6 linked regions of the Xenopus tropicalis genome follow. The protein of the gene in region 1 purifies or fractionates together with the protein of each later gene. This does not show direct contact. Links are inferred from orthologs where the notes say so. Each region holds a gene or a part of one and is shown in the gene's direction. Other genes may lie near its edges. The genes, in order: rpa3, rfwd3, zup1, top3a, prpf19 and smarcal1.

Region 1 (3,999 bases):
TAAGGTTGTTTTCTCTGGAAAAGAGGCGCTTGGGAGGGGACATGATTACTCTGTACATTAGAGGGGATTATAGGCAGTTGGGGGATGTTCTTTTTTCCCATAAAAACAATCAAAGCACCAGAGGTCACCCCTTTAGATTAGAGGAACGGAGCTTCCATTTGAAGCAGCGTAGGTGGTTTTTCACGGTGAGGGCAGTGAGGTTATGGAATGCCCTTCCTAGTGATGTGGTAATGGCAGACTCTGTTAATGCCTTTAAGAGGGGCCTGGATGAGTTCTTGAACAATCAGAATATCCAAGGCTATTGTGATACTAATATCTACAGTTAGTACTAGTGGTTGTATTTATAGTTTATGTATGTGAGTGTATAGATTGGTAGGTGTGGGTTAGGTGTGCTGGGTTTACTTGGATGGGTTGAACTTGAAGGACACTGGTCTTTTTTCAACCCTATGTAACTATGTAACTATGTCTTCGGTTTTAGTTCTCTCTGTAAATGCAATTGCAATTGGTAGCAGGATCTGACTCTTGAAACAATGTAGCAGGGCAGCTGGCTTCTGCTTTGTTCTTTCGAAACTGAAAACCAGCAGTGCTGAGAATAGGGATAAACAGATACTACTTTCCATAGTAATTACAAATAAAATCTAAAGCATGAAACATTTCTTAAAGAGTCAGAGTGCCTTGAGTGCATACAATGGGTTTTTTGGCACCACCCCTTCAACCCCAAGGTAGTGACATTTTGTGAAATGTAAAAGGTAGTACAAGTTCTTACAAGCAGGACGCACAATCTATGACTTTAAGATCCACTTTGGCCAGAACAGAGTGTATTATATAACTATGCCAGCTACTTACATATTAATACAAAATTGGCCGTGAAAAGATTTCAGCAACTAATAGGCTATTTCAATAGACTGGTGTAAAAGTGGTACCGAGCACACACATTTGTATAGGGAAGGAATACATTTTATACTACAACATTCATTGAAATTGCAGGTGTTTAGTTGCTGACTTAGGCACATCTGCCACATACAATCATGGCGCATCCCTCCTCGGATTTCTTTGGGCGGGGCAATGTGTCAGCAGCACACTTTGCTGATTGGCCAGTTTCCCTGCGCTCTCTTTGGTAGTCATTGGTACTTCCGGAAGAGGTTTCCCGCCACAGCGCATCTTTCGCTAGGAAGGTTTATCTCTGTTATAAGTTCTGGTTACAATGGCGGATCTGTTTGATGTCCCCAAGGTCCGCATCAACACGAGCATGTTGGCTCAGAATGTGGGGAGGCCCGTATGCTTCGTTGGCAAGGTGGAAAAGGTAAGAGGTTTGCATTTCGCGTTGCGGACGAGCGTCATGCTTCATACCTATACATAATGGGGCTATCTCCTAGTACATGAACTATACTCCTGGTGTCCAACTATAACTATACTTCTGTAACAACTGCTCTTGTATTGTGCTGGGACTTGCAGTGTTGCAGTAGTTAAAGGGGAGTCACATGTATGCTACCTTCAAAAGTGATGTGAATAGTGAATATCTGCTGTGGTTTCATTATTCAGCCTTATGTTCAACAGCTGCCCAGCTTGGCATTTCAGCAGTTATCTAGTTGCCAGGATCCCATGTAACCCAAACTACCAGGCAGTGGTTGGAAGCAGAGACTGGAAGATGAATAGAGAGAAAAGCAATCACTGGTGTGACTTTAGAGGGAGCAGACCCAGTGGTTGCATGAGGGCCTAGACCACTGGGTCTGCTTCACAGGGTCTGTTTTCTCTATAGTTAACACCAAAAAATGTATATATTTTAAAGAAATTAAACTATAATGTACTGCTGCCCTGCACTGGTAAAAGTTTTGTGTTTGCTTCAGAAACATTACTAGAGTTTATATAAACCCTGGTGTGTAGCCATTCAAAAGAAGAAAAGGCACAGGTTATATAGCAGCTAACAGATAAACCCTGTAGAATACAATGGTGTCTTATCTGTTATCTGCTATGTAACCTGTGCCTTTTCTCCTTTTTTCCAGCTTGAATGGCTGCCCCCATGGCTACACAGCAGCTTAGTTATATAAACTATCGTAGGGTTCCTGAAGCAAACACAAAACTTTTACCAATGCAGGGCAACAGTACATTATATTTCCATTACTTTAAAACACTTTCATTTTGATGTAACTTCATGGTGAATGAACTATCCCTTTAAAGGAGATTGCCATTTGATTGCCAATAGATTAGTCACAATAGTGCAAGTTATAAAAAATATTTATTCTGCAGAAAGCTATACCATACCTGAGTAAACAGCCCTAGAGGCTCCCTCTGTTTAAGATAGCAGCTGCCATTTTAGCTTGGTCTCAGTAGCGTCCTGCTGCTGATAGCTCATATTACGCAGATGGGAGGGGGATCATATTCTGATGGGAGGGAGAGAGGAGCAAAATGAGCAGACTACTGCCTGTGCCCTGAAGCATTTTTCTAAGAGCAGGAAGTCTGATACTGAAGTACACAAAAGAAGACAAGAAATCCTGTGTTTCTTTAAAGCACCAAAGGTTCCCTGTTATTTTTTAGTAAGTCAATATATGGAACTTTAGTGTCCAAGGTTATTCTCTTACAAGATAACCATAAAGTATTCTTGTTTTGATGCTTTTGTTATTTCTTGATATTTACACAGGTTCACCCAACTGGGACATCCATTGTTGTATCAGATGGTGCAGGAAAAAATGCTACAGTTGAGCTTAATGAACCGGTATGTATAGCAGTGTGAATGAGCGAGGACATTTTGTACGCAAATAAGTCATTTACCCTTTAGATGCAGTAAATCATGGAATGTAGATCAGTGCTGCTGAAGTTAGTGGTCAGCACTGTTTCGGAGTACTTAGGTATTCAATACATAGTCTGTCAGTCAGTCCTGGGTATTCCTTACATGTGTTCAACTGGTGTTGCTTGAGCTGGTCCAAAATGTGCTTCATTTATTACCCTAACAATGGGGCAAGGTTGTTAATGGGCACACTGTACAGTATAGTTATAGGTGCCTGCAGGCAATTATTTTTACAGAATTAGCTCGCTATTTAAAAATTCATAATGAGACATTTTAGTGTACTCTTTGTATACTTGCTGTTAACTCACTAATTTGGGTATGCTACAGAAGTTATGTTCACTTAGTATTCCTAGTTCACCTGTAATTAAAAAAAAAAAAAAAAAAAGCAGTACCTAGACAATTGCAAACAAGCATTGTTCCAGAAAATGAACACTGACACCCACTCCGGGGGTCTCTAGAAATTATGGATTGGTTCCTCAGATTGACACAAAATACAGTGCTTTTACAGTTTTTTTTTTTTTTTTTGCAAGAACAAAGGTTATATTGTGGACATAATTTTTCTTCATAGAAATGTAAAAGATTCTAAATATATTTTGTTGAGCATGTCTAGTAAATAGGAGCATATTACTAGTTTGTGACACTTTCTCCCCTTGGTTGTTAAAATTAAGAAACAATTCACACTATTTTTCCTTATGTTGCAGCTGGAAGAGGAAATTTCTGGAATCATAGAAGTGATTGGAAAAGTTACACCAAAGGCAACAATTATGGGAGTATCTTATGTCCCATTTCGGGAAGATGTAAGCACTTTTGGTAAGTAAAAAGCTATTTGTCGCTATTAAAGAAAAGTCTTGGAGATCTCTCTCTAACATTGCTGTGCTGCCACCTAACTTGTCTTTTCTACGCTAGGATTCCCTGGGTAGGACAGGTAAGATTGGCAGTGTGGCACCTCTAAAATAGTAGAATTCACGTTTCTGTAATGCACAGTGCTTCCCATGGACATCAGCAGTTCATTGCAGCACCCATTTCAGCCCCCTGCTGCAGGTCTTCTCTTCACCTTGTGCACTGTACTGTACACCCGTACTGAACTTTACATCTGGTAAATAGGTATAAGAACTGTATTAGAGAAACTGGGAGGGTAGCAGGATTCTCTCTGGGGCATTTTTGCAAGGCGATTTGCCTGATAATTAAACAGCTGCCCTGCTGCTCTCCCATTT
Region 2 (2,618 bases), on another chromosome or scaffold:
TTCAGGGATGGTACAACCAATAAGCCTGTTGCCAAACATTTTCTAGAGATGGGGCACAGGTTGCCCACCTTTCATTACATTGCAATTGATCATGTGCCGCCCCTTACAAGGGGTGGTGATCGGGCCAGGCTACTTCTCCAAAGAGAGGTGTTTTGGATTAAAAAACTAGGTACTTTGGCACCGGCAGGGTTAAATGAACACTGCTCTTTTCTATGTTTTCTAGAGCAAAGGTGAGGAGATGTATTGCTGAGTTTGCTACACTGGCTACAATATTTGCCAGTTTATGGTTAAGCATTTAATGTCTTTGTTTCCTTTTTTCTTTTCTGTATTTTCCCGTACCATCTATGGTTACATTTTCTGCATTATTTGTCAGTAGATAAGTATGAACTTTTTTAACTTGGTATTTCTTGCACTACATGCTCCCTTATGCATAACAATGACTTTGTTATGCTTTAGCCTACAGGGTTAACTATTCAGTCATGTGACTGGGATGGGAGTGTGGGGCTTGGGGGAGTGTCTAGAGGTTTTATCTATTTATTTGCTGATTTTAACTGTGTATGTGGTCTTGATGATGGTCTTAGGAGGAGACCGAAACGTTGGCCTGTTTTAACAGCATGTTTAAATAAAAGTAACGTTTTAATTTTTGAAAAAATATCCTGGTGTGCACCAAATTCTTGGACTTTATATATATATATATATATATATATATATATATATATATATATATATATATATATATATATATATATATATATATATATATATATATATATATATATATATATATATAAATTTTATTTTTTTTTGCCTTTCTAAATATGTGTAGTAAAAAGAAAAAATAAACATAGCCATTATATATTTACAGGTAAAACCCATAATTATGTACGTGGTGTTATGATGGAACTGACCAGTAACCGGCTGAGTGACTCTGAAAATGAGTACAGTTGTTCCTGTTACCCTGTTCAAACCTTTAATGCTGGTAGCACATGCAAGCTTCTCACCAAGAATGCCATATTTCAGAGCCCTGAGAGAGATGGCTCTATTTTGGTTTGTGCTGGTGATGAAGCTTCAAACTCTGCAATGGTAAGTACTGAATTGTAATTTTGGATATGGAATCCAATGTTGCATACAATAGACTTAATACTAAAGTTACACTCGCTATACTGTCCAGACCTGTATCTGCTGTTCTTTATTGGAATTAAAATATGTTGTCCACACAGTAAAATTGTTTAGTCCATACTGATACTGCAGCAATGGGGACCTTTTTTCCAGGATGCTTGGGACCTGGGGTTTTCTGTTTAAGGGATGTTCTGTAGTTTGGATCACAATAATTTGTCTGCTAAAAAAAAAAAAATAATCTAAATATGAAACCTTATAGGATTGTTTTGCCACCAATAAAGATTTATTATATCTTAGTTTATCTCATTTTTGAACATAGTTTTATGGGTAATACAATAGATTTATATATGTAACCATACAATGGATGTATTGTTCCCTTTCTGTTTGAAGTACAATTTTATCTTTATCTTTATCTTTTATCTTTTTTTTTTTTTTAAATACAGCTTTGGCATTCAGGAAATGGTACTCTTCTTCAGAAGCTTCAAGCTGACCAGCCTGTTTTAGATATCTGTCCCATGGAAGTAAATCAAAGCAGTATGCTGGCCACTTTAACAGAGAAAATGGTAAAAATCTATAAATGGGAGTAACATGTCCCTTCAAAAGATTATTTTTTGCTTATTTGGCTGGCACCATGGTAGCATTCCAAGTCTTCATACTGATCTTGCCTGCAGCATGACAGTGTTCCAGGCTTCTAACCAAAATGATCAGCTGAGATGCACTAATGTATGTACAGTAATCATATGCTGCTTTTCAACAGTTATATATTCAATTAAAACTAAGGTCTTGTCTCACAGCTTAAATCTGTGTGCAATAATCTAATTTTAAAGGACTTTGTTCTGTGAAATCCCTGTCCAGGGGTGTTCTTTAAAAATGTCTGTTTCGTATGTCTCTTGTATATATTTTCTTTGTAATTCTGTCACCATTTCCTTTTCCCCCTCTGTCCTAATAAAGAATTTTAATACCATTATGGTACAAAATAAGTAAAGTACTTGCACATCGTTACTATGTATCTGTTTTAATTATGACTTGCTCATGGTTTGAAGCAGATGAGAGATGAGATGAGACTCCACTAGAGCAAGCCCAAATAAATGTAAATGAAAACCTCTAGTTACTGCTTCATCTAGGTTGCAAAATGTATTTTGGAGCATACAGGCAAAATATAATCTGTATAGATTTAGTAAATTATATGTCTTCTTTGCCAAACAACCATTTATTAAAAGATAGTGCAAACTGCCAGAAAACGTAACAGCAGGTTGATGCTGCACTAGTCCAGAGTGTGTGCAAGCGTATATCCGTAAATATTGTCCTTTTACAAGAAGGTGTGGGGGTAAAAAACATAGCTCTGTCCATTCACTGGATGATGTAACGAAGCAAGAATGTGTGCCCTTGGTTTGTGTGTATACACAATGACTTGTATGAGCCAGGGAATGGCTGGTAGTACTTAAAATGACTGGTTGACTGAATGATTAGAATTATCCAGTGGCACAGACTACCTTTTA
Region 3 (4,288 bases), on another chromosome or scaffold:
GAAATCAAAAAGTAAAAAGGATGAGGAGCTCCTATTGCTTGCCAACTTACTGTTTTTATGCCACCATTTTTTTTTAAATAAGAAAAGGAAATTGTTCTTGTTTAAAGAGACCACCTTTTACCAGTGTTCCTTTCAAAAATAGTGTTGGACGAATGAGAGATCCCTTGAAAATCCAGTTTCATTACAAGTGGACTCCTGCATTTTTTTCAACTGCTGGCAAATAGCTTTATTGCTCCCCAACACAAGATTACCTGTATAGACACTTCACCAGCTCTTAGTTGGCTACGCTGAAATCAATTGGATTTGCCAGCTGGGAGATGGATTTAAATTGCTGTATGATATGCATTAAAGTTTAGCCAGTCATGTGATCTGGAGGAGAGACAGCTTGCAGTGTGCAGTTTCATCTTGAACATTAAAGGTGGTAGAGTTGTTTCTTAAAGAAGGACACTGAATGCCAGATACACATGCTTAAACAGGAAACATTTCCCATTGTATCCAATCATATTTTATTCTACAGCACCTCAGATCAGATTGTGTAGCATTTATGCTATCATGTCTAGTTGCATGATGAGGTTTTGCGAGACAAAGATCTGCCATGTAATTCAGGCCTTTAAAAAGTCAGGCCTATTGCACTTAACAATATTATCAGAGCTCAAGCTCAGCGCCCTCCCGCTCGGTTCCCACACTCCCCTCCAGTGGGCGCTGTTGTTACACCACGGCAGGGACTACAATTCCCATCATACCGTGAGACGACAAGCTGTTGTCAAGTCTCTGTAAAAAAAAACGCCTATCCCGGCGCTCTCTGGCAGTGACAATATGGCAGAACCTGAAACCAGAATGAGCCGCACAGCATCTCTGCAGAGGCTACGGCACAGCCATCGCTTAGCACCACTATGTGTATTGCCCATTACTTGCAAGAGCATTAGGGACAGTCTTGTAGAGAGGAAAGTTTGGCAGTTCATCAGTAACCCGTCACGCCTCAGTGTCAGAAATTTACTTTTATTGGTATTTGGTACTTTATTTGTCTAATAAACCTAACCCGGAAGTGATGACACCTATGCGCTGTGGCGCCTGGGTGACGTCACGAGTTTAGTTCTAAATTGAAATCCCTGTCAGTCTGGGAAACGAAAGTCGAGGATTGGGGTAAGGCGCTGCGGTTTACTTCTTTTGCCAATGTTCATAAAGACAATATATATACACACACACACACACACACATATCAGTTCTAGGACAAATATACCTGTTTGCACTACCACACTCTCCAACATATAGCATTGTTTACATTTTGCCTTTGCTATAATCATTTTGTTTATTCTAGACATTTGTCCTACTGAACATGCTATAGGCTATATATTTCTCTTTAAGACGGCATTTATGCACAAACATATTTATTTAGTATACCTATTAGCTAATAGCCTGTTTCTTCTTTTATCCAGTTTCCAGATGTGTGAATCCTTTTATGATTTGTGAAGTCTCTCCAGCTCAGTAAGGTGACATAAAACATGCTCATTTGTGACATCTGCACTCAGGAGGTGCACTCTGAAAATGACATGAAGAGCCATTTGCTGCTTGCTCACATGGAGCAGGATGCTTGTTGCCCTTTCTGCCCCCTGGCTGGATTATCGTATGATGAACTGAACTTCCATATTCACGCAGCCCATGAGGACATATTGGAGGTGTGGAGTGAGGATGAGCAAAATACATCTGAGGGCATCATTGATAACTCTGCTGGTCGTAGAGCTTTACAGGATTCCGACACTAGGGACCACGAAGCATTGATTGCAGACAAACCCAGGCTTTCTGTCCCTTCCCAACCCAATGAGAACAATCTTCAAAACAACCTAAATAATGAATGTCCACAATTCAGCAGAATTCATTGTCTTTCTACTTCTAAATCTTCTTCTGTTGCACAACCTACAAATACTATCATAGACCTTACCGCTGGTGCTGCTTGTTCTGAGCCTTCTGTATATGATGTTGACTCTGTTAGAGAAATTTGTGACAATACAAATTTTGATGTTCAGTCCCAGTCTGTTACCCCTCCACCTTCCTGTGACATGGACTTTGTTCCAGAGTGCCCTTTCTGTTGTGAAGTAAAAGCTTCTCTGGAAGAACTAGAATGTCATGTCAAGACTGAACATGCAGATCTTCTGGGAACACCTACTAAAGGTGGAAGGATTGATCTTTACATTCAATATTAAACTGTGTTTATTGCTATCATAAAAGTTTCATAGAAATATAAAACTGCATACCAAGGAAATTACTAAAAACATAGGTTATGGATTATTTATAATTTCTTATATGTATTAATTTGCATGACTATCTGTAAAAATGGCCCCTAATTGGAGCTCCCTATAGATCCTCACAGGTTCCTGTCTGTATTTCAGATGAGGGGTAGGTGTGTCCTAACTGTCCCTGCCAGAAGCACGGTAGTAGGGGAGTAGCCAATCGCAGTCCTGCAGTCACATAAGCAAAGACAGGCAGCAGTTCTCTATCAGGCCAGCCTAGCTGCTTATTGGTTCCTATCTTACAGTTCAGTGTGCTGAGTGCACCCCTGATCATCCATAGAATTCAGCCAGCAAGAAGTGGAACAGATGGGCGGGACTTGTAGGGTTTTTGGGGAATTTCTCAATAAATCCGTCCTAAACACAACTTTTGTTAGCACAATCCTTCTATATTTAGAGAAATATAATGCACTGGTACATTCTTAATTTTCACATGATTTGTCTCCTTTAATGTGGCAAGTATTTAAATATTAAATATACCTATAACGAAGATTTAAGATGGAGTGAAAGCCAAGTCTCCTGCTAGTTCATTTTGATACAGTGTATTTGTTTTTACCTAAAAAGCTTTGTCACCCATGTAATTTTGCTGTTGTCTTGCATTACCAGATGATTGCAGACAGTACGAGTGTCCATTGTGCACCCTTGTGTGTGCAAATAGTCAGATCTTAGAAGAGCACGTAAACCTACATTTGGAAGAAAGCAGCTGTGATGAAGGTGATCTTTTCATAAATTATTTCTGTTAAAGCATTTTTTTTTTTTATTAAACACATTGGTTAACTAAGTAGCAACAAACCAGTATAGAAATAGCATTAAAGGAAAAGTAACACTAAATTTTTTTTAAGTAAAAAAGCTGCCCTATCCTGCAAACCACTTTTAAATGCTTTTAACTAATTTTAAATGCTTTAATAGAAAATACCTGCTAAAACTTGGCTTCCTGTCAATTGAACTATGGCGATACGGTGAAGGAGGGAGCTGCATCCACTATGCGACGATCAATTGATCAAGCCTAGCCTGACTCCTTCCTATACAGAAAGAAGGCTAGGCTCGATCAATCGATCGTCGCATATTGGATGCAGCTCCTTCTTTCGCCGTATTGCCGTAGTTCAATTGACAGGAAGCCAAGTTTTAGCAGGTATTTTCTATTACAGCATTTAAAATACTAAGTGATTTGCAGGATAGGGCAGTTATTGGTGCAGGGTAGAATAGCTTTTTTACTTAAAAAAATTTAGAGTTACGTTTCCTTTAAAAGAAGTATATTGCTTTTTGTTTTAGTTTAATTGAAGATCATGATGTATGCATATATATTGTAGATATAGATTTGAACATGCACTAGACACATGTCATTAAGCAATCACATTTTGGAAAGATTGCAGGTGTTGCATGAATTCTGGACTTATACATGTCATCATTTCAAGTGTTTAAAAGCAATGGGTTCAGCACTGTTGTAGCTGTGTCAGTTTGCCATGATAATAAACTAGAACACATATTTTTAAGGTGCAGTGGGCGTATTTAAAAACACTAGCAAATATATAGCATTGAGTTTTCCTAGTCATATGTCATTGCCTTTATTTTAAGTACTGTAGATATTTCTTTATAGTTTATGGTTGGGCACAGAACTTTGTGTAAAGTTTTACTACAAGGTTGTTATAGTTCACAACTGTTGTCCAGTCAAACTTTGTATTTAAATTATCTGGATATAGGTTTTTCAGTAAGCAAATAAACAACTGTATGTATGTATGGACAGCTTGTTACCATAGAAATGCCATAAGAACAGTGCATGCCAATTTCTTACATGTTGTAGTTCTATTTGCATGGCTTCTTTCTTGCATTAGAGAAATCTTCTCCAGCACGGGCAACAAATTGTCCTAACTTCCCTTCCTAATAGAATTAATGAAAATGGAAAGCATATGTGACGCATATTTTTTTCTCACCGGCGATTTACATTAATGCCAGTGGGAAGGTAATGTTGGGAGCTTTGTCACCTGCACTTGATGTGGGGCCAG
Region 4 (3,500 bases), on another chromosome or scaffold:
TGCCTTCTTCTTCCAACTCTTTCCAGCTTTCAAATGGGGGTCACTGACCCCGGCAGCCAAAAATCTATTGCTCCTCGAGGCTACAGTTTTATTGTTATTGTTACTTTTTATTTACTTATCTTTCTATTTAGCCCTCTCCTATACATATATCAGTCTCTTATTCAGACTACTCCCTGGTTGCTAAGGTCATTTGAACCCTAGCAACCAGATAAGTGCTGAATTTCTAAATTGGAGTGTTTCTGAACAAAAACTGAAATAATATTGAAAAAAAAGTACAAACAATAAAATACGAAGACCGATTGCAAATTGTCTTAGAATATTACTCTCTACATCCTACTAAAATTTAAGTAATCCCTTGACCCCCTTTTGAAAACTGCAAAGAGTCAGAAGGAGAAGGCAAATAATTAAAAACCCATAAATAATGAAGACCAATTGAAAAGTAGCTTAGATTAAGCCATTCTATAATACTAAAAGAGAACCTAAAGGTAAACCACCCCTTTAAGAATGATCACTGTGGACGCAGAGGCAGCATTATTAACACAAATATAGTTTAGTTGCCCTTTGCTGGAGTACTGTCTGTATCTGTTTGGGATACCAAGCTGGCTGCACCCATTAACTGCCTGATGCTTTGTGTTCTAGATTCATCAGTTATCCCCGCACAGAAACCAACATTTTCCCCAAGGACCTTAACCTGACATCTCTGGTTGAGCAGCAGACGCACGACCATCAGTGGGGAGGCTTCGCGCAGCGAATCTTGGAGAGGGGTGGGCCGACCCCACGGAACGGCAACAAGACAGATCAGGCTCACCCTCCCATCCATCCCACTAAATACACCAACAGTCTGCAGGTCAGCTCACATCTGCCCCTTTCCTTCATGGGGAAAAAGGTGGTTCACCTTTTAAATTAGCTTTCAGTATGCTATAGAACAGGGGTCCCCAACCTTTCTTACTCGTGAGCCACAGTCAAATGTAAAAAGACTTGGAGAGCAACACAAGCACCATAAAAGTTCATGGAGGAGCCAAATAAGGGCTGTGATTGGCTATTAGGGGCCTCTATGCACACTATCAGCTTACAGGGGATTTATTTGGCAGTAAATCTTGTTATTATTCAACCAAAACTTGCCCCCAAGTCAGGAATTCAAAAATAACTCCCTGGTTTGGGGGCACTGAAAGCAACATCCAAGGGGTTGGGGAGCAACATGTTGTCCTATTCCTAGCAGTTTTGCAATTGGTGTTTGTAGTTTATTTATTTTTTTTTTGTTTGTTATATAGGTTTTTGAATTATTTGCCTCCCCTCCCCTTTAAATGGGGGTCAAAAAAACTATTGCTCTTTAAACTTACAATGTTATTGATATTGTTTCTTTTTATCATTTACTTTCATTGAGTCCCCTTCCTATTCATATTCCAGTCTCTCATGTAACCCGCTGCCTGGTTGCTAAGGTATGCAAGACCCTAGCAACCAGGCAGCGGCTGAAATTCCAAATTGGAGAACTGCTGAACAAAAAAAAAAGCTAAATAACTAAATCCAAATTGCCTTATCGATGAATCAATGTCTTCATCTTCCTAAAACTTCAATTAAAGGTGAACTACCCCTTTAACACTTGCTCAATAAGTGGCAGATATGGGAAGGCAGCTCTCATCGTGACCCGTTGTTGTTTATAAACTAGTAAATACAATTGGTCCCTTTTTTTGGTTTCAGGGAAATGAACAGCGGATCTACGAGTTTATTGTGCGCCACTTCTTGGCATGTTGCTCCCAAGATGCACAGGGCCAGGAGACCACGGTGGAGATCGACATTGCTGCCGAGCGCTTTGTCGCTCATGGACTGATGATCATCGCTAGGAACTATCTAGATGTCTATCCCTATGATAAATGGAATACAAAGGTGATAGATGAAGGGAAACTTCACCCAAACACAACTATTAAAAAATAATTAAGCCTTTTCATGATATTTAATGTAATAATATGGTTTGGAACAGTTCCCTAAGCCCCGCCCCCTGTTCCCCTGCTGATCTGGTTGGCTACTTTGAGACTCAAATAAAATGTAACAGTAGTCGCCTGTCCTCAGCCTGCTTTCAGTCTGCATCCTCCCAATCCCACAATCCCCTGAACACGTGATGTCAATAAGGAAAGGAACATCCCAGTGCAATGCATTGTGGGTTATGTAGTTGCTGCATGCTGTCTGTAAGCTGTGGAGAAGTTGTTACAACTTGGAACATGAATGTTTTAGTCCCTCCTCCCCTGCCAGGATTGCAAATGATGCAGAAAGAGAAGAACTGTTTTGCAGCTGGATTTCAGCATATAAAATGGTATTTATTCCTACTTTGGGAAGGAACAGATTACAGTGATAGGGATATTAGGGGTTTCTGTATTGTGTGGGGCTCTTTAACAAATTTTGGTTCAGAAGCTGGAGTTTCCCTTTAATATTTTTATTAGACGCCTTCTGCTTAGCCATTATTCCTTTGTGTTTGTAATTTCATTTTCATCTATATTTTGCCCTTTGAATTAAGAAGCAATAACGGCATTGACGATGCTGTTGCTTGTGTTTCCCTAGATCATCCCCGTCTATGAGATGGGCACCCGCTTTCAGCCCAGCACGGTGGAGATGGTGGACGGGGAGACCAGCCCCCCGCAGCTTTTAACAGAAGCCGATCTCATTTCCCTGATGGAAAAGCATGGGATTGGTGAGTGAGAAGGTTATTTTGCCCCTATTTTTGCCATCGGTTTGGCTGTTTCGTGATTGTGTCTTGTCCAGTAGATCCTTAATATGACAGATAGGAACCAATCGTCTGAGCTTTTGTGCTTCCCCTGTAGGTACTGATGCCACCCACGCTGAGCACATTGAGACCATCAAGTCGCGCATGTATGTGGGTCTCACACCAGAGCAGAGGTTTCTTCCTGGGGAGCTTGGAATGGGGCTTGTGGAAGGTAAGAGACAGGCCAACTATGTGGTTATGTATGGGACAGTCTCTTGTACTTGGCCTAGTGCCGCCCCACCCTTATGCTGTTTATTTGTTCTTATTAGTTCCCATGATATTCTCAGTCCATCACTGCCCATGAATGTGCATCTCGTGGTTCTGTTCAGGCATTGGCTCGACACAGAACCTCAAGTGACTGACACAGGAAGTGTCTCATAACCTTTCTCTGCTTATTGCAGTTTTTTCAGCGATAGAACGGAGCAGAGAAGCATCAGGAGATGATTCCTGCATCAGTAACTTAAAGGGGTAGTTAACCTTTGAATAAACTATTAATATGTTACAGACTAGCCAGTTCTAAGCAAGCTTTCCATTGGTCTTTGTTTTTTATCTTTTAGAGCTTTTGAATTATTTTCCACCTTCTTCTTCTTCTCCTCAGCTTTTAAATAGGGGTCAGTGACCCCAGCATCCAAAATAAACTAGTTTGTTTTTTGTTACTTAATGTAACTTATTTTTCTATTCAGTCCGTCTCCTTTTCATATTTTATTATTACAATAATATTGTAATTGTAAATATACATCCAAAC
Region 5 (4,275 bases), on another chromosome or scaffold:
TTGCAGAAGCTGCGGTGCTCCCGATAGACGCGAGTGTGACATCATGGGGAGAAGAAGAGCCGGGGGACGCAGCAAGAGGCAGCAGGCGGGTGGGGGGGGGAGCAGGGGGAGCCGCAGGGAGGATGTTGCGGGGGAGTTGAAGGATGTTGAGGAGGACGCTGGGAGTGAGCTGGAGGATACTGGGGGGGAACTGGAGGAAGCTAAGGGGGAGCTGGGGGACGCTGAATAGGATGTTGCGGGGGAGCTGGAGCATATTAGGGGGGAGCTGAAGGATGTTGGGGAGGATGCTGGGAGGGAGCTGGAAGCTGGAGGAAGCTAAGGGGGAGCTGGGGGATGCGGGGGAGCTGAAGGATGTTGGGGAGGATGCTGGGGGGAGCTAGAGGATACTGGGGGGAGCTGAAGGATGTTGGGGAGGAAGCTGGAGGATGCTAAGTGGGAGCTGGGGGATGCTGGGGAGGACATTGCGGGGGAGCTGGAGGATGTTGGGGAGGACGCTGGGGGGACCTGGAGGATACTAGGGGGAGCTGGAGGATGCTGGGGAAGATGCTGAGAGGGAGCTGGAGGATGCTGGGGAAGGTGCTGGGAGGGAGCTGGAGGATGCTAAGGGGGAGCTGGAGGATGCAGGGGAGGACGCTGGGAGGGAGCTGGAGGATGCTGGGGGGAGCTGGAGGATGCTGCAGTGGGGAGCAACCCATACTATGGGGACAATGGGGGAGGACCAGCAATGTTTAAGGGGGCCCTGGGCTGGCTAGCAATGTTTTAGGGTGTCCCTGCCCTGCCACCAATGCAAAACGTAACACCTGGCTACCAATGTCATGATATACAGGTGCTACAGTGCGTAATGAAATTCTTAGGGCTACATATGTGATAAATGTCATAAAATTATTGGGGCCACCATGCCTATCTTCTGGTGCACTTTGTGTGTGTTATGTTTTTCAGGTGTGGTTTTGTAAAATGGGCCTGGTTGGGGGGCGTGGCCATAAAGTGGGCGTGTCCTGAAATATTTGTCCCTCCTTCTACTTTTCAAATGTTGGGAGGTATTTCTGAGATAGATGTTTTAGACTGCTAACAGCAGGCTTTCGCCTAAATAACTTATCAGGTAGTCTGTCTATGCAAATCTTGTATGTATTCCGTTTACCCTCAGGTTGCCGACTCTAAAGGCAGCCTAAGAATTGATAAAGATAATAAATTAATATAAATAGCACCAAACATGCATATATGTGGGGAAGCCCTTAGATAGTAAACACAACTAAAGAAGAGACTGACACGTATGATAATCACAAAGCGCTGTGAAATACTTCAGTGCTGCCAGGAACTGCAGCTGTACACATCCGGCTACACTACGCCGAGTCTATCTCTTCTTTCATTGCTTTACGTAAAACGTCTAGCTGTAGAGCGGATGTAGAAACAAAGAAAACCGGAAGTACTTTGCCGACGCTGGTTACACGCTGTTTCCAAGTTTACCTCGGTAGAACGGAGATAGCCCGCCAAAGGGCCTGCCCAATTTAAGTCTGAAAACAGGGAGTCCTAGCTGAACAGCATCACTAAAAAGAAAACAACGCTATTTCTCGCCTAACCATATTGCTCAAAGAGATACCTGGAAGATGTCTTTGACATGTTATAGTGAGTGCAACATAAAACAGCAGTAGAATAGCACTACCGGATTCATAAAATGCTTGTATAAAGTTGCTGAGCATCGGCTGTGTGGATGCAACGTGTCATTTGATACGATATTTGGTATACAGGTCCTATATATAGAAATTCAATGCAAGTTATTTAATAGTAGAAAATATTTTTCCCTAAATTTGTGTTTATGTCAACAAAAGTTGTATTGTATCTGGAGCTTGCTAATTGTGTTAAGTTAATATTTTTTGTAATATCTTGATGTATGATTTGTATACATTGATGTATGCCCCAAAAAGTTGGCGCTCTCTTTGGGGTTAAGATTTTAATCACTACAAGGATTAGGTAGAGGAAGGCAGCTCAAAGATATATTTAATTATAGTTCACTTAAAAGTAATTGATATAGATAAGTGGTATTTTTTTTTTCCCTCAAGTTTGCTTTTTCACATTAGTATACTCAGAGTATCCAAATTAATTGTATTGACATTGATTCAGGAGCGCGGACAGGGTTTGTATATACATTGATGTATAGTCATATTTAAAGCATTCAGAAAATGCAAGCAGGGTTATTAGCTGGGGATAGCTCTGTTAGAAATATGGTATTGTGACCATGATTTAGAAATATAATGTAAGAGATTGTAATTTGTGTACCTTTGCTTGCATACAAAACATTTAATTCATTAATGTATAAAATGGTTAGACTCCAACTTTAATGAAAGGTACTAAATACTTAATGCTTTTGTTCCTACCACTTGAATTTTAGGACATAATTGTATTTGACAGTACATGTGTATTTAAAACCTATGTTTAGACTTATAAGCAATTATGCCATTTATAATCTAAACATGTTTATAAAAATTCACATTTTTCTCATTTGCCTGTAGTCAGTAATGAGGTCACAGATCGCCCCTGCATTTCCCCGGTGTCGGGTCATATTTTTGATCGCCGCCTTATTGAAAAGTATTTGGCTGAAAATGGGACAGATCCAGTAACAAATCAGCCCTTAAGTGAGGATCAGTTGATTGACATTAAAGGTCAGTAGAGCTGTGAAAACGTCTAATGCTATTTTTCTTTGTGTTCAGTTTAATGGTACAGGTATGGGATCCCTTATCCAGAAAGTTTCCCATAGACTCCATTATAAGCAAATAATTCTAATTTTTTCCTTTTTCTCTGTATTAATAAAACAGTGCCTTGTACTTGATATATTTAATCCTTATTGGAGCCAAAACTATCCTATTGGGTTTATTCAATATTTAAATTATTTTTAGTGGACTTTAGTTATGGAGATCCAAATTACGGAAAGATTCCTTATCCGGAAAATCCAAGGTCCCAAACATTCTGGATAACAGGTCCCATACCTGTATAGGGAATTTACTTGTCATTCACCTGTAACCCCCCCCCCCCCCCAAAAAAAAAATTAGCCATACCTAACACAAAAAAAAACCAAAAAACTATAATTTCTGTTGGGTCATTTAAAGGTATTATTTTACGTTTGCACAACGCACAGTAATGCTAATTGTAGCTAGAGATGGCACATTGCTTCCAAAGCCAAATTTTACATTTTAATTAGTGTATGTTCCCAAACTTCACTAAGTGAATACACATAATTTTACAGATTTTTAGAAGAAAAATAACTGAATTATGCATTAGTAAGCCAATTTCTTGCTTTTAATTAGCCTATAATATATGGATCCACATATTTTTGTATTGCACTTTTTGTACACAGTTCTATGAAATACTTTTACAAAACTCTTAATGTTATTTTGGTTGACTGTGTCAAAAGACTTAAAAAGGGGAACTTCTATATCGTGGTTGGGCCTTACATATAGGTCATATTACAGACTATTTAAATTTTGTCTTTATTTACCTGTCTTTGAGCTACTGTATGTAAAATGTAAACTGGTAACAAGTTTAGATATTTATAATACCTAGACCTGTCGCAAAAAAAAATTGATTAGTAGATCTACATAAGAATAAATAGATTGTGCTGTGTATCCATTTATACTCTAAATTACACATGAGTGGTCTAAACAGATAATAGAACAACATTTTTTAAGTTTAATTCTTCTTTAATCACAGCAAAGAATGGAGCGATGTTTTTACTTTTTCTTCAATTAGTTTATTGAAGGGTCTTTTATCCTGTTTCTTACAGTAGCCCATCCAATTCGTCCTAAACCACCTTCTGCAACCAGTATTCCAGCAATCCTGAAATCATTGCAAGATGAGTGGGTTAGTATCTGGATCCTTCACTTTGTGCTTTCTCTCCTTACTGTCTATAAAATGTGTTGGTGTAGATTAAAAAAAAAAAAAATAGAACATATGTATTGCACAGCTGATTATTAATAAATAGATTTACAAAGCGTAACTGTATTCATTAGCCATGTGGTAAAGTGTATTGTTAGTGTTTAATGTATCAGGTTTTTTACTTGTTTAAATTAGTAAAGGGTAAATCTGCTGGGTATATTGTTTTATTGTTTTATACATGTGTTCTTTGCCTCAGTATATATTGTTTTATACATGTGTTCTTTGCCTCAGCAGAGGCAAAATTATGGAAACCTAATAGAGGTTTTGATATATCTTTACTGTTTCCTGCAGATACATTATTGCATCATAAGTGAGAATATGAAAATTACTGAAATTATTTTGATATCA
Region 6 (3,500 bases), on another chromosome or scaffold:
ACTCTCCCTGAAACATGAGTTGAGTAATTACTGTATTCTTATTCTTTCCATTTACTTGGCCTTTAATCGTGCAGTTTCGCGGTATCGAGGGAAGGGCGCTTGCTGCTGGCCGATGACATGGGCTTAGGGAAGACCATACAAGCCATCTGTATTGCTGCCTATTATAGAAAAGAGTGGCCCCTGCTTGTCGTGGCCCCTTCCTCTGTGAGGTTCACATGGGCCGAGGTAAGAGCCTGCTCTACATTCTGTGTAATTATCCCGTCCCGGCAGGCTGCTCGTTATATAAGTAATTAGTATATTGATTATACATATGAAGGCCCGTCAGTCAGTCAGTAACTCTGATGCAGATAATGTTGATATCGAATATCATTTGTGTAATTACAATTAGCCAACGGCACCTCGTTATGAGCCACTAAAGGGGAACACCAAGCAAATCTGGGGCTTTTAGCAACTTAAAAAGGAGAGAGTCCCTGTGTGGGAACTCATGGGGCCCCTGCAGCCTCCTAGGTGTATTTCCTGGTATTTCCAGCAGCTCTGCCTTGCTTTATGGCTGGGATTCTAGATCTACACTCAGAATAAAGACATTGGGCACATTCACTTACCCAGACACATTTTCGAGCATAATCACCATGTTTTTTTCCCCACAATCCACTATTTTCCCCCACAATTCCATTGTCAATGCAGATGCGATTGCGCTGTGTCTACTGCAGTTACGTCTGATTTGCCAAATCGCAAATATAGCACAATTGCGCTATTTGCCCTGTAAAGGGCAACCCTAGGGCTCATATAGATAAGCGACTGTGGAGCTGACAGGAATTGAACCCAGGAATTCCAGTGAGTCAGGCACAGAGAGCTAGCGGCTGATTGGTTTATCTGTGCATTAGGATGAGAGACTGTCTGCCACAAGTGCTGCCCTCTCCCCACCCAGCTGGCTGCTGCAGACCCCAAGGGAGGCAGGAGGGGGAAGATGAGGTAACCTGACCCGCAGAGCTCACAATCCATGCTTTGATTGCATGACAGGATGGCGCCCAGCTCTGCAGCTGGGATCATTTCTCTGCCCGGTGTGTGGGAAAGAAGTACCGGCAGTGCCAGCTCAGCAGGGGCAGTGCGGGGGTTAAAATGAATGCAGGGCCCCTGGGGTCCAGTTTCCCGGCTGTAGTGGCTACAGGTTGGCACAGTTGGCATAGAGGCGAGTGCCCTTTAAGGAAACCTTATATGTTTGTAGCTGCTGTGCCCTCTGCTCTCCAGGTGGGGGAGCTCCTGCTCCAGTTCTAATAAAGCATTCCCCTTGGCTAGCTACAGTACAACTATAACTGCCAGCACCTTTACTACCTGAGATTATCTATTTGTGTCTTTTTATCCCCCCACCCCAATTCATTGTTCCCCTGTTACTCCCCGCAGGCCTTCCAGCGGTGGCTTCCCTCCATCAGGCCGGAAAGCGTTAATGTGATCGTGACGGGGCGGGACAGCCAGAGCGCCAGTCTCATCAACATCGTTAGTTTTGACCTTCTGGGGAAGATGGACAAGCAGATTGCCGCGACTTTCCAAGTCATTATTATAGTGAGTAGCGGCGTTAGGTCCCGCCCCTCTGTGAAATGTCACTGGCCAGTAGTGCCAGGGAAGATTGAACCCTTTGTGAGCTCCCGCCCCCTAAAGCTCAAATGTGGGTGGCATGGAATGTGCTGCAGGGTAATATGGGGGGGCAGGTACTGACACCGGGGCCTTAGGAACAAATAGTGGGTTGGATTCTGCCAGTTGCAAATGCTTATTTATCCCACAGGAAATGCCCCGCCCCAGGGTATAAATTTATAGCTTCAGTCTGTAGAGCCCCCAAAGGGGATGTGGCCCTGTAGCAGTGTAGCCACACACTGTGTGTATATAATATATATAGAGAGAGAGTGGATATTGGGGCAGGAATACAGCGACAATGGAGAGAAAAGTACATTATTTATTTATTCATTTTAAGGATGAATCTCATTTCCTGAAGAACGTGAAAACTGCTCGCTGCAAGGCTGCCATGCCGCTACTGAAGGTACCTCCCACCCCCTACCTTTCTACCCTCCCCCACCTCAGTCTGATCCCGCCCCCCATGCACTGGCCCCACCCACTCTGTACCATGTGTTTCCCTGCCTTTACTATACATTGCCTTTCTGAGATTTCTGTAGGGTTCCCTCTATCCTTTTTGTTCCTTTCCAGCCACCGTAGCTTTTCCTTTTCTTCTTCCCTTAAGGTGGCCATACACCTTCAGATCCGCTCGCTTGGCGATGTCGCTAAGCGAGCGGATCTTCTCCCGATATCCCCCACCTACAGGTGGGCGATATCGGGAGAATCCAGGCTAATTTGGATTCTGGGGCCAAACGATCGAATTATAACGACAGGTATAGGCATGTTGTTCCTGCCCCTACAGGCCTACGGGCCGATAAGCTGCCAAATCGGTCTAAGGGACTGATATCGGCAGCTACAATTGGCCCGTGTATGGGGACCTTTAGAAGGGGGGGCTGAATCTGATGGGCAGTTGCCTTTTTTATTAGCCCAAATGATCTATGGAATGTAATATTCTTGCGCCTTTTCCCACCACACAGAGTGCTAAGAGGGTGATGCTACTGTCGGGGACCCCCGCCATGTCCAGGCCGGCCGAGCTCTACACACAGATTGCTGCCGTCAGACCCAGTTTCTTCCCTCGGTTCCACGACTTCGGAATCCGTTACTGCGACGCCAAGCAGGTGAGTTATGCGCGCGGGGGGGGGGGGGGGGGGGCTTACGTTGGGTCCCGTAAATACTAATATCACAGACTGATAATTCACTCTCATTGGCAGATGCCCTGGGGGTGGGATTATTCGGGATCCTCTAATCTAAACGAGCTGAAACTGCTGCTGGAAGAGTCGATAATGATCAGACGGCTGAAATCCGAGGTCCTGTCCCAGCTTCCCGCTAAGCAGCGCAAAATGGTTGTGGTGGCCCCCGAGGGCATTACTGCAAAGACCAAGGCGGCCCTGGCGGCGGCGGCAAAGGAAATGGCCAAGGGATTTAAGAGCGTGAGTAGGCTGGCTCCCTGATTGGTGGGAATGTCTCTTTTATCCTGAGCCAGAGGGGCACAGAAAGAGGGGATTTAAAGGGGAAATATGCACTATTTTTCCATTACAGATAGCGAAACATAGATTGTAGTTTTGTTTTTTCCCTTTGTCCTTATCCTCTCAAGTGAATATTGAGTTACAGGCCCCCCCGGCCCCTCTATATTATCAACATTGAAACCACGTATTAATGTAACTATGTCCCCCATTACCGTCCCGGCTTGGTGGCGCCCCCACCCCTCGCTGTTAAAGTGGGAGGAGTTCACTGTGTAACCAGGAGGGAGAATTTGACCAAACGTTTCCCCCTCCACCCGTTGCTCTGTAGAACCAAGTAAGGCAGGATTAAAGGCCAAGTCAAACTAAAAATCAATCTCAAGTTCACTGTTTGGGTCTTTATCTTCGTCTCAATTGACAGAAAGTTCAAGAGAA

The links.
Region 2: the proteins of rpa3 (region 1) and rfwd3 purify together in Homo sapiens (affinity purification with mass spectrometry; 5 studies listed by BioGRID and IntAct, with this or other methods). This does not show direct contact. The link is inferred for Xenopus tropicalis from reciprocal best matches to the Homo sapiens genes RPA3 and RFWD3.
Region 3: the proteins of rpa3 (region 1) and zup1 purify together in Homo sapiens (affinity purification with western blotting; 3 studies listed by BioGRID, with this or other methods). This does not show direct contact. The link is inferred for Xenopus tropicalis from reciprocal best matches to the Homo sapiens genes RPA3 and ZUP1.
Region 4: the proteins of rpa3 (region 1) and top3a purify together in Homo sapiens (affinity purification with mass spectrometry; 3 studies listed by BioGRID and IntAct, with this or other methods). This does not show direct contact. The link is inferred for Xenopus tropicalis from reciprocal best matches to the Homo sapiens genes RPA3 and TOP3A.
Region 5: the proteins of rpa3 (region 1) and prpf19 purify together in Homo sapiens (affinity purification with western blotting; 3 studies listed by BioGRID, with this or other methods). This does not show direct contact. The link is inferred for Xenopus tropicalis from reciprocal best matches to the Homo sapiens genes RPA3 and PRPF19.
Region 6: the proteins of rpa3 (region 1) and smarcal1 purify together in Homo sapiens (affinity purification with mass spectrometry; 3 studies listed by BioGRID and IntAct, with this or other methods). This does not show direct contact. The link is inferred for Xenopus tropicalis from reciprocal best matches to the Homo sapiens genes RPA3 and SMARCAL1.

What each region holds. Positions count from the first base shown.
Region 1 is NC_030682.2:34,387,485-34,391,483, reverse strand, and holds the start of rpa3 (replication protein A 14 kDa subunit), read left to right. Parts: upstream 1-1,199; 5' UTR 1,200-1,204; coding exon 1,205-1,303; intron 1,304-2,638; coding exon 2,639-2,713; intron 2,714-3,486; coding exon 3,487-3,595; intron 3,596-3,999. UniProt on the Homo sapiens protein: As part of the heterotrimeric replication protein A complex (RPA/RP-A), binds and stabilizes single-stranded DNA intermediates that form during DNA replication or upon DNA stress.
Region 2 is NC_030680.2:74,776,487-74,779,104, forward strand, and holds the end of rfwd3 (E3 ubiquitin-protein ligase RFWD3), read left to right. Parts: intron 1-865; coding exon 866-1,083; intron 1,084-1,562; coding exon 1,563-1,706; 3' UTR 1,707-2,118; downstream 2,119-2,618. UniProt on the Homo sapiens protein: E3 ubiquitin-protein ligase required for the repair of DNA interstrand cross-links (ICL) in response to DNA damage. Plays a key role in RPA-mediated DNA damage signaling and repair.
Region 3 is NC_030681.2:74,824,352-74,828,639, forward strand, and holds the start of zup1 (zinc finger with UFM1-specific peptidase domain protein), read left to right. Parts: upstream 1-1,488; 5' UTR 1,489-1,502; coding exon 1,503-2,169; intron 2,170-2,891; coding exon 2,892-2,999; intron 3,000-4,288. UniProt on the Homo sapiens protein: Deubiquitinase with endodeubiquitinase activity that specifically interacts with and cleaves 'Lys-63'-linked long polyubiquitin chains. Shows only weak activity against 'Lys-11' and 'Lys-48'-linked chains.
Region 4 is NC_030685.2:15,952,857-15,956,356, forward strand, and holds part of top3a (DNA topoisomerase 3-alpha), read left to right. Parts: intron 1-639; coding exon 640-847; intron 848-1,698; coding exon 1,699-1,884; intron 1,885-2,553; coding exon 2,554-2,683; intron 2,684-2,813; coding exon 2,814-2,927; intron 2,928-3,500. UniProt on the Homo sapiens protein: Releases the supercoiling and torsional tension of DNA introduced during the DNA replication and transcription by transiently cleaving and rejoining one strand of the DNA duplex.
Region 5 is NC_030683.2:60,626,426-60,630,700, reverse strand, and holds the start of prpf19 (pre-mRNA-processing factor 19), read left to right. Parts: upstream 1-1,475; 5' UTR 1,476-1,604; coding exon 1,605-1,623; intron 1,624-2,507; coding exon 2,508-2,657; intron 2,658-3,775; coding exon 3,776-3,852; intron 3,853-4,275. UniProt on the Homo sapiens protein: Ubiquitin-protein ligase which is a core component of several complexes mainly involved pre-mRNA splicing and DNA repair. Required for pre-mRNA splicing as component of the spliceosome.
Region 6 is NC_030685.2:86,335,847-86,339,346, reverse strand, and holds part of smarcal1 (SWI/SNF-related matrix-associated actin-dependent regulator of chromatin subfamily A-like protein 1), read left to right. Parts: intron 1-74; coding exon 75-225; intron 226-1,401; coding exon 1,402-1,560; intron 1,561-1,966; coding exon 1,967-2,032; intron 2,033-2,582; coding exon 2,583-2,723; intron 2,724-2,816; coding exon 2,817-3,035; intron 3,036-3,486; coding exon 3,487-3,500. UniProt on the Homo sapiens protein: ATP-dependent annealing helicase that binds selectively to fork DNA relative to ssDNA or dsDNA and catalyzes the rewinding of the stably unwound DNA. Rewinds single-stranded DNA bubbles that are stably bound by replication protein A (RPA).